2 linked regions of the Nothobranchius furzeri genome follow. The protein of the gene in region 1 purifies or fractionates together with the protein of each later gene. This does not show direct contact. Links are inferred from orthologs where the notes say so. Each region holds a gene or a part of one and is shown on either strand. Other genes may lie near its edges.

Region 1 (3,333 bases):
AGCGGAACAAGATGGCGACAGCTTGTTTGAAACAGCTTTGGACTATTTAGACTTGGGCTTTTCTTTGAGGCAAGAGCAGATTCTTGAATCCTTATTTAGAAAAACTATATATTTGCGTCTTCTTCCAGGGTATCTGCAGGTTTAAGGGAGCCAAATTTAAGACTTTTTAAGACCTCATTTAAGGCCACTTTCACCAAATTTAAGCTATTTTTAAATTAAATTTAAGCTATAATTTCCAGCTATTGCCTGGAACCGGTGCTAACCACGTCGTAAATGTGGGATTAGCCATCCAGTTACCATTAATGTTGCACTTCCCCATGGCGCAAACTCCCACTAGCATGCTCATCTAAAAATAGCCCCCTTTCACAACCAACTGAATGTGTACGGTTCCGCTTACCCCAATATCGTACACAAAAAATACTGAACTAACTAGAAATTCATGAACATTTTATAGAAATAAAAGAATCTTGTTTATTGGGTCTTTGGTAATTTAAGACCTTTGGAAACTATTTAAGGATTATTTGTCATTTTTAAGGATTTTTAAGGCCTTACATTTGGAAAAGCAAATTTAAGACTTTTTAAGGACCTGCAGCTACCCTGTTCTTCATCCGTGTATGGCGTACTGCCTCGTTGACACATCCGTAGCAGAGAGGATGTCATGTTGTTCGTTGTCCAAGAGCATAAGGAGACAGTTTGATAGACATCCATAGGTTCGGCCCCACGACAGAGCTCTGTCTATATATCCACATATATAGTCTAGCTTGCCAGGCTAACTTGTGCATTGCAGTTCATTATTCCCATTAGTCATTAGTTTCCTACCTAAGGAAACCCAACAGATTGCATCGAGTCACTGACTTGTTTTGTCAGTGACTCGACAGCAATCCCCAAACTAAGCAAGCATGTAGTGACAGTGGAGAGGAAAACTCCCCTTTAACAGAGAGAAACTTCCAGAAGAACCTGACCCAATAGCAGATTAACTACTGGTTGGACTTTCTACATTAACTCATTCACTGCCAGAAAAGCCCTTCGCTGCCAGCGTTTTTCACCGTTTTTACTGTTTAAGAGTCACAGAACGTAGCACTTTATGATGATGTCAACGCCAAAACTACCAAAACAAAGCGGAGACTCACCTGCGTTTCTAGCGTTATCTGTTGTGTAATAATCCGTTGTCGAATTGTGATCGGCAGAAGCTTTTCCGGTTCGCGCCTCACTTTTTTTACAGCAGTGGCCCAAAATGATCTCCTAACACATGATTTTCTGTTTCCTGATCACGTGACGTACGTGGATGAAGATCGGCTTTAGAGCTGAGATGTTTGTTCTCACGGAGCGGGGGCTCGTTCTCACGCCCACACAGTAAAAAAAATGCCAAAGACGAATTTAGTCATCATTGGCATTGAACGGCTGGATTTAATATGACGACTTTTCTCGTCAATGGTTGTGAATGATTTAAAGAATAATGTCCAATACTAAACCAAAACAACTCTAAAACGGTCCTAAATGCTTGACTTACTGAAGACAAACAGGGTCTCAATCAAAAATTGCCAATTACCCCGTAAGTATCTGATCCTTGACACCAGGCATGAAAGCACAGGTGATTGTTTTCTTTTTCATTACAACAATAAACTACATTATAAACGTTTTAAAGACCTACCCTGAGTAAATGCCAGTCTTCGCACACAAATATACTAACGTAGTCTTTGCAGTCACGGCGTTCAGCCAAGGCCATGTAGCCTCCATCTTTACTGAAGTCTATACCTGTGTGAAGAAGACGCAATTAGAAAAAGCAGCAACAAGGTTGATATTTTCCATTGTTTCGACCACTGGCTCCTGCAGGTAATTACGACTTTAAAGCATTTTACTTATTCTAAATAATAATTTTAAACGACAACTATTGTTTCCAGCTGCCGTCACACCCTTGCAGAAACCCACGAGTCACAAGCTGAAATTATCCATAGGGTAACAGATTTACTTTACTGGTTCTAGTTTAATATTGTGTCATGATGAGTTACAGCAAACTCTTAGAAACGTTCTGATTTTTAAAGAAGATAATCTGACCCTCTTGTGTCGGCATAACAGCTGCTTCTAGGTAACTTTAGTGATTTATGCTTCCGTTTACTGATTTAATTAATACTCAAATGTGGATTTTCCACAGTAGAATCCTTACATATACTAATGTTAACATCTCTGTGCATTAAGTGGCAAACAGCCTCTGTCTACGCTGGTAAAACACATTAAATCACACTCTCCTATGCGTTCCATCCCATGTAATTATCTGATTCTTTGGCACCATAAAGTCTGCGGCATGCAGCCATCATGGCCAAATCGTTTATATGACAGTCCTGGAGATAAACGCATTGCAGAGGGGCATCGTATTACACGTGGAAAATGAGGAGAGTCTGGGACAATCATATTTCCACTAGTTGCTGACAGGTCTGTTATGAAGAGCATGCCCCATTTACTGGAGAGGGACACAGCTGTCAGCAGAGGGGACCAGAGTCTGGACACATATTCTGGGCTGTGCCGCAAGGTAAAGAGCCGTTTGTGATTAATGAGGCACGCCAAGGCGCTCAGCTGACCCTGTCCTCAGGTACTCTGGTGGTACATGCTCTTTATAATCATAATACCATCCTCATACTCACCCTTCTGACACGCTTTGGGATACTTCATGTAAGACACCGCTTTAGTGCACAGGGACCAGACGGTAACCCTCAGCTGTCACGGCAACAGAGGAAAGAAAAAATGTTAACCAAAGACACGAATAATTCACAGTAAATAGAATTAAACTTTCTACACATCATCATGTGTCTATCAGCAAACCCAACATGGACCGGCCTGCACTTAAAGTGTTTGTAGATGGGCTGTTGTGTTGAGTAGAAATAAAAAACACTGATGCAGTCTGGAGTTTTCTCCCTTTCAGGAACTACATGACTTTTGTAGAAATGTGTGTGTCTTACCCTGCACTGCGTTTCAAATCTAGGCAATACGTCGATTTATTTTTTGCTAAGCCCGTCTCCCATCCTGTAGAGCCCCGTGTAATTTGAATTGAGCGCTGTTCAGCATTAATTAAGTTAGACATCCACTTGCGTACAAATGTCGTTCACAAGCGTCTGAGGTCGTACCTAAACTGATGTAGAGTTGGTGACATTTCTTACGGATGAGTACATTTAAAAAAATAAACGAACAGCATGATTTACAATTATAAAACTGTGTTGGAGCTTTGTTGCTCAACTAGAGGTGTGCACTGACAAACATTAAGTAGTAGATCTAAAATGTAAAATATTAAAAGCAGAGCTTACGATGTAAGCATATGCAAACATATGTGGTGATGTCAGC
Region 2 (4,255 bases), on another chromosome or scaffold:
GATTGATGGTTTATCTCTTGGGTCCACGTGGCAGGGGTGAGGAGTGAGCCCCACCTCACCCCTGCCACGTGGACCTCAAGGGATAAACCATCAATCCTGCTCAGTGGTCAACTTTCTTTGGGGGGGGGGGGGGGGTCACCCATGAAGACAGTGGGAGGGTTAAAAAACCTGTTGGCATAATTTTAATAAAAGTTATTTTCACTGAAACAAAAAAGCGACCACATTTATTTTTTCCATCACCTACATTGATCTTTTTGGACTTTGGACTCCTGCCCCTGTCTGGACTGCAACTTGGACTCAGTCCTCGGACTCTTTTGTAGCGCTCAGCTTCTTGGCGATAGTAATTCCTCTCCTCCTCAAGACTCTTGACAAAAGCATCTAGACGCGATGGGGAGTGCGTTCTTCTACAGACACCATGTTCAGCACGCATCGTCTCCAACTCCAGAACCAGCTCTTTGTCTGGAACACAAGCATCAACAAACACAAGTTCAATTTGAAGACGATGAAATCTGAGTATTAATAACCGAGGTATCCCAGAATATTGCTAACCGTCGGCCATCATCTTCTCCACTTTGTCCTGCAGCCTGGTGTTCTCCTCTTCCAGGAAGTTCAGAAGTCCCTCCAGCTTCTGGTTTTGTTCCTTAAGCTCCACCAGCTGATTTCTGAGACGATCTCTTTCAAATTCTCCTTCAGACTGTTCCTGAACTCAAACATGTCACTGGACGGGTTAAATTTAAATTTATTGAACTATAGAAACAATTAAGATAAAAAAGTTGTGTTTTACCTTTCTAGCCTTCGTGATAATATCCTCCAACTCTTCAGTGATTTTCTGCTGCCTTCCAATTTCTTTCTGCAACCAAACAGATGCTTTAGTGTATTTTATGGCATTTAAAAACATGATCTTTACCTGAAATGCATCTAGTTTATTTACCATTGACTTTATTTTCTTACTTTAGTTTCCTGGAGCTCCATGTCTGCAGTTTCCAGCATCCGCTCCTTGTCCATCTCCATGCGCTTAGCGAGGTGATCGATCTGAGTCAGCTCTTCGCAGAGCTCCAGGTTCTTTAACGACAGACTAGCCACTTCGGTGGAGGCGTCCTTCTTTTTCTGATGCAATCCCTCCATTTTATGTTCCAGAGTTCTGTTGGTTTCCTGTAAGTACTCAATCTAGAAGACACAGATTACAGTTAGGAAGCACCAGCACTCCCTGACAGACGCACCTATGTGAATATGTTTATCTCCAGTGACAGTGGTGCATGCCTGAAGGTTAAGATGGGCGATCAGTTTCTCATTGCTGACGTTCTGAGCTTCAAGAGAAATGACATCATAAGGGCGTCCCCCGTGGAGTACATGATTCAGACGCTCAATCTCTTTGTCCCGTTCCTCCACCTACTCAAGAGACAGCTTGTTAGACCTTAAAGAAGCCTCACCACACGCCTGATTTTGCCGTCCTCACCCGAGTGTTTATATGTTTAACACATTCTTGGGACTTTTCCAGGTCTAGTTTGAGCTTGATGATTTCCTCCTGTAGCTCATTAATTCTACAAATCAAATTAACTGTGAGTCCAGACGATAACGGAAATGTGAAGGTTTATAAATACCCACACATGCATTATGAAGCAACTTCAACGAAACACACCTTCCATCAGCCAGATGTAGTAGGTCAGCAATGTATGGATCATCTGGCTGCTGGACAGGATAGGTAGATGTAGAGGTGGGAGGTATGAGCTCATCAGTGTGCATTCTCTGTCGTCTAAAAGGAATACTCCGCTTCTTCCCACCTAGTCACAAAGAAACAGGTGAGTAGAAGAATTTCCATCAATGATCACACCCTGGTCAAGAGTTGTACCTGGAGTCTGCACAACAGCGTGCAAGTTCTTCTCCTGCAGCTGCTGAATGCGCTCAGCTTTAGCCTTGCTGTCCTTCTCCAGGCAGCGAACCTTATGCACGTACTGGTTGTTCAAGAACTTCAGGTCCGATGTCTCATGGTCCAGTTTTCTGATGCGAGTTTTGAGCTCTGCCAAGACACGATGGCTGGGTGTGGGTTAACACACCAGTCATTAGAACCTGCAGGTAAGAATGGGGAGGAGGGGGTGTTTCTTAACCTCTAGTGATCTGATCTTTCTCCTCCCTTAGTTTCAGAAGCTCCAGGTGCAGCTCGTTGTTCTCCCGGACCACCCTGGCGTTCTCGGTCCTGTAGGGCTCCAGCAGAGCATCGACGTTTCGGCTCTCCTTCTCGGTCTTTCCTGCTGATAGTTTGGCATTGCGCAGGCTCTCTGTTGTGTGGATCAAATCACTGCAGCAGAGGAAGAATCGCATCTTACGTTACTGACACTAATAAAGGGAATAAAAGGTAAGAGAACAGAAAGCTGGGTTCACCTGAACAGCTTCTCCACCAGTGGCAGTGAGTCTATCCCCAGAGGTTGTCTGTAGCCCAGCTGATCCAGACGTTTCCGCAAGTTTACGTATTTCCTCTCTGCGCTACTGTTCATGATGGTGATGTTGAGATTGCCAACTCCTAAATTAACAAAGGTGCTTTAAATATGCATTTATAAGGTAACAAAGGCGTACTAAAGATAGCAGTGTTTGCTAACATACTTTAGCGTTACTAACATACACAAATAAAACAACACATTGATACTAGCATAGTTAACTGGCTGTTTTGTTATCATTACTGTACCTACCAATTGTCATTGAAATAGTTAATGAGCTAACTTACCGTGCTTAAAAACCCCGTTCGCGGCGGCTAATGCTAGCTAAATATTTATCACCGTAACGCTACATCATACAGAAACGTATCTTCACTTGGACAAATGTCCTGGCTCAGCCACACTATAACACTACTTTGTGAATCCCGTTATGTGTTTATAAACGGGTGAGTTAACATGTTTCCGCGGTAAGCTGGTTTGAAAAGAGCGCCGACAAAGTTTCGGGGTTTGTATTCGTCACCATGGAGGACGAGAGCAATTTGGCTAGCTTGTTATGTCAACTGGCGTCGCCCGTGGGAAAATCGAGGGGTGGAGTTAAGCACAGATTTTTATCTCAAGTATTTTTTTTTCTTTCAACAAATGAGGTACAATAATCATCTGTTAGTTGATGCTTCAACTGCAAATTTATTATGTACAATTGACATAAAGAGAAAAACGACAAAAGATGTAGGGAGGAGCTCAAAAGAAGCACACATGTAGTGTTGAAATTCCCTTTAAAAACAACACAGGCACATATGAAATGTTCACAATCCAAAAGGTGTTATATTACATTTAATAAACCTTCAGTCGGGAAGCAGGTGTGACTTGTGACAGAAACAGTGAGCGGCAACTAAACTAGTGAGACTGAGCGATGCTGGAGAAGTACTCCAACATGTCCTGGATGGTGAACTCCATGGTGATTCCAGATCCAGGATAACACCTGCCTATCAAACCCTCAAAGTGCTTGTACTGCCTGATGAACTCATCCTGCGTGGAGTGCCACACCACCTGGTGGAGTTCAGAAGAAAGTGCAACAGTTGGAAAACAGCATTAAGAAGGCAATATCGGTGTTAAACCCTGCTGAAAAATCTGCATGAGTTTTGGATGCTGGTCCAAAATCCAGTTAACTACATCCCATGCTGGACTAGCATACCAGCATCCAAAACACGGCATATGCTGTTTTAGTCAGCAGGGAAGTGAGTGATTTCATGAACTCCTTACCTGTAGTAAACTTTCTTCCTCACACAGATGTTTGTCCACCTTCCTGTAAAGGTTGTCGAGCCCCTTTTTCACTTCTTTGCCAGGGTATTCTTTGATGACTTTGCGTAGCTCTTGCTTGTTGAAGGCCAGCTGGTAGCTGACCTCCTCCTCACGGACCCCCTGGGCTACGCGGGCCTCAACACCTTCAAAGAAATGCTGAAAGAAAATTTACAATATGCTTAAAAATTTGTTAAAATGAACTACATCATTCTTTACGTGGCACAACAAAAAGACGAATCTCCTTACATTAAGCTTCTCCAGTGGCTGGCCCAGAGAGTTGATTACATACGACTGCAGGTGGTCCGTGTATTTGTGTTTGGCTTCTCGCCTCTCCGCGTCCAGGCAGGAAATCTTCAGACGAGACAACGTGGAAAAGATGTGGTGGAAGTTCTCCATCATAACGACGTCCCGCGGTGTCTTCTGGCTTTCATTGGCTACCTTCTCCACTGAAAAGACAACCTGAATTCCCTCATTTGTTTCCAGACAACATCACATGATGATGGGTTATCTCACCATTCGTGAACACA

What was found. Proteins that work in one complex are often made in the same cells at the same time.
Region 2: the proteins of wrap73 (region 1) and cep135 purify together in Homo sapiens (co-immunoprecipitation; 6 studies listed by BioGRID and IntAct, counting the BioPlex papers as one, with this or other methods). This does not show direct contact. The link is inferred for Nothobranchius furzeri from reciprocal best matches to the Homo sapiens genes WRAP73 and CEP135.

The regions. Positions count from the first base shown.
Region 1 is NC_091755.1:32,176,001-32,179,333, forward strand, and holds part of wrap73 (WD repeat-containing protein WRAP73), read right to left. Parts: intron 2,713-3,333; coding exon 2,640-2,712; intron 1,756-2,639; coding exon 1,652-1,755; intron 1-1,651.
Region 2 is NC_091748.1:40,510,558-40,514,812, reverse strand, and holds the start of cep135 (centrosomal protein of 135 kDa), read right to left. Parts: upstream 2,967-4,255; 5' UTR 2,720-2,966; intron 2,519-2,719; 5' UTR 2,493-2,518; coding exon 2,380-2,492; intron 2,297-2,379; coding exon 2,106-2,296; intron 2,018-2,105; coding exon 1,850-2,017; intron 1,782-1,849; coding exon 1,640-1,781; intron 1,542-1,639; coding exon 1,457-1,541; intron 1,390-1,456; coding exon 1,261-1,389; intron 1,168-1,260; coding exon 952-1,167; intron 851-951; coding exon 785-850; intron 701-784; coding exon 550-700; intron 460-549; coding exon 245-459; intron 1-244. Other genes in the region: exoc1 (exocyst complex component 1), read right to left, coding at 3,324-3,476, 3,690-3,884, 3,975-4,174, 4,242-4,255. UniProt on the Homo sapiens protein: Centrosomal microtubule-binding protein involved in centriole biogenesis. Acts as a scaffolding protein during early centriole biogenesis.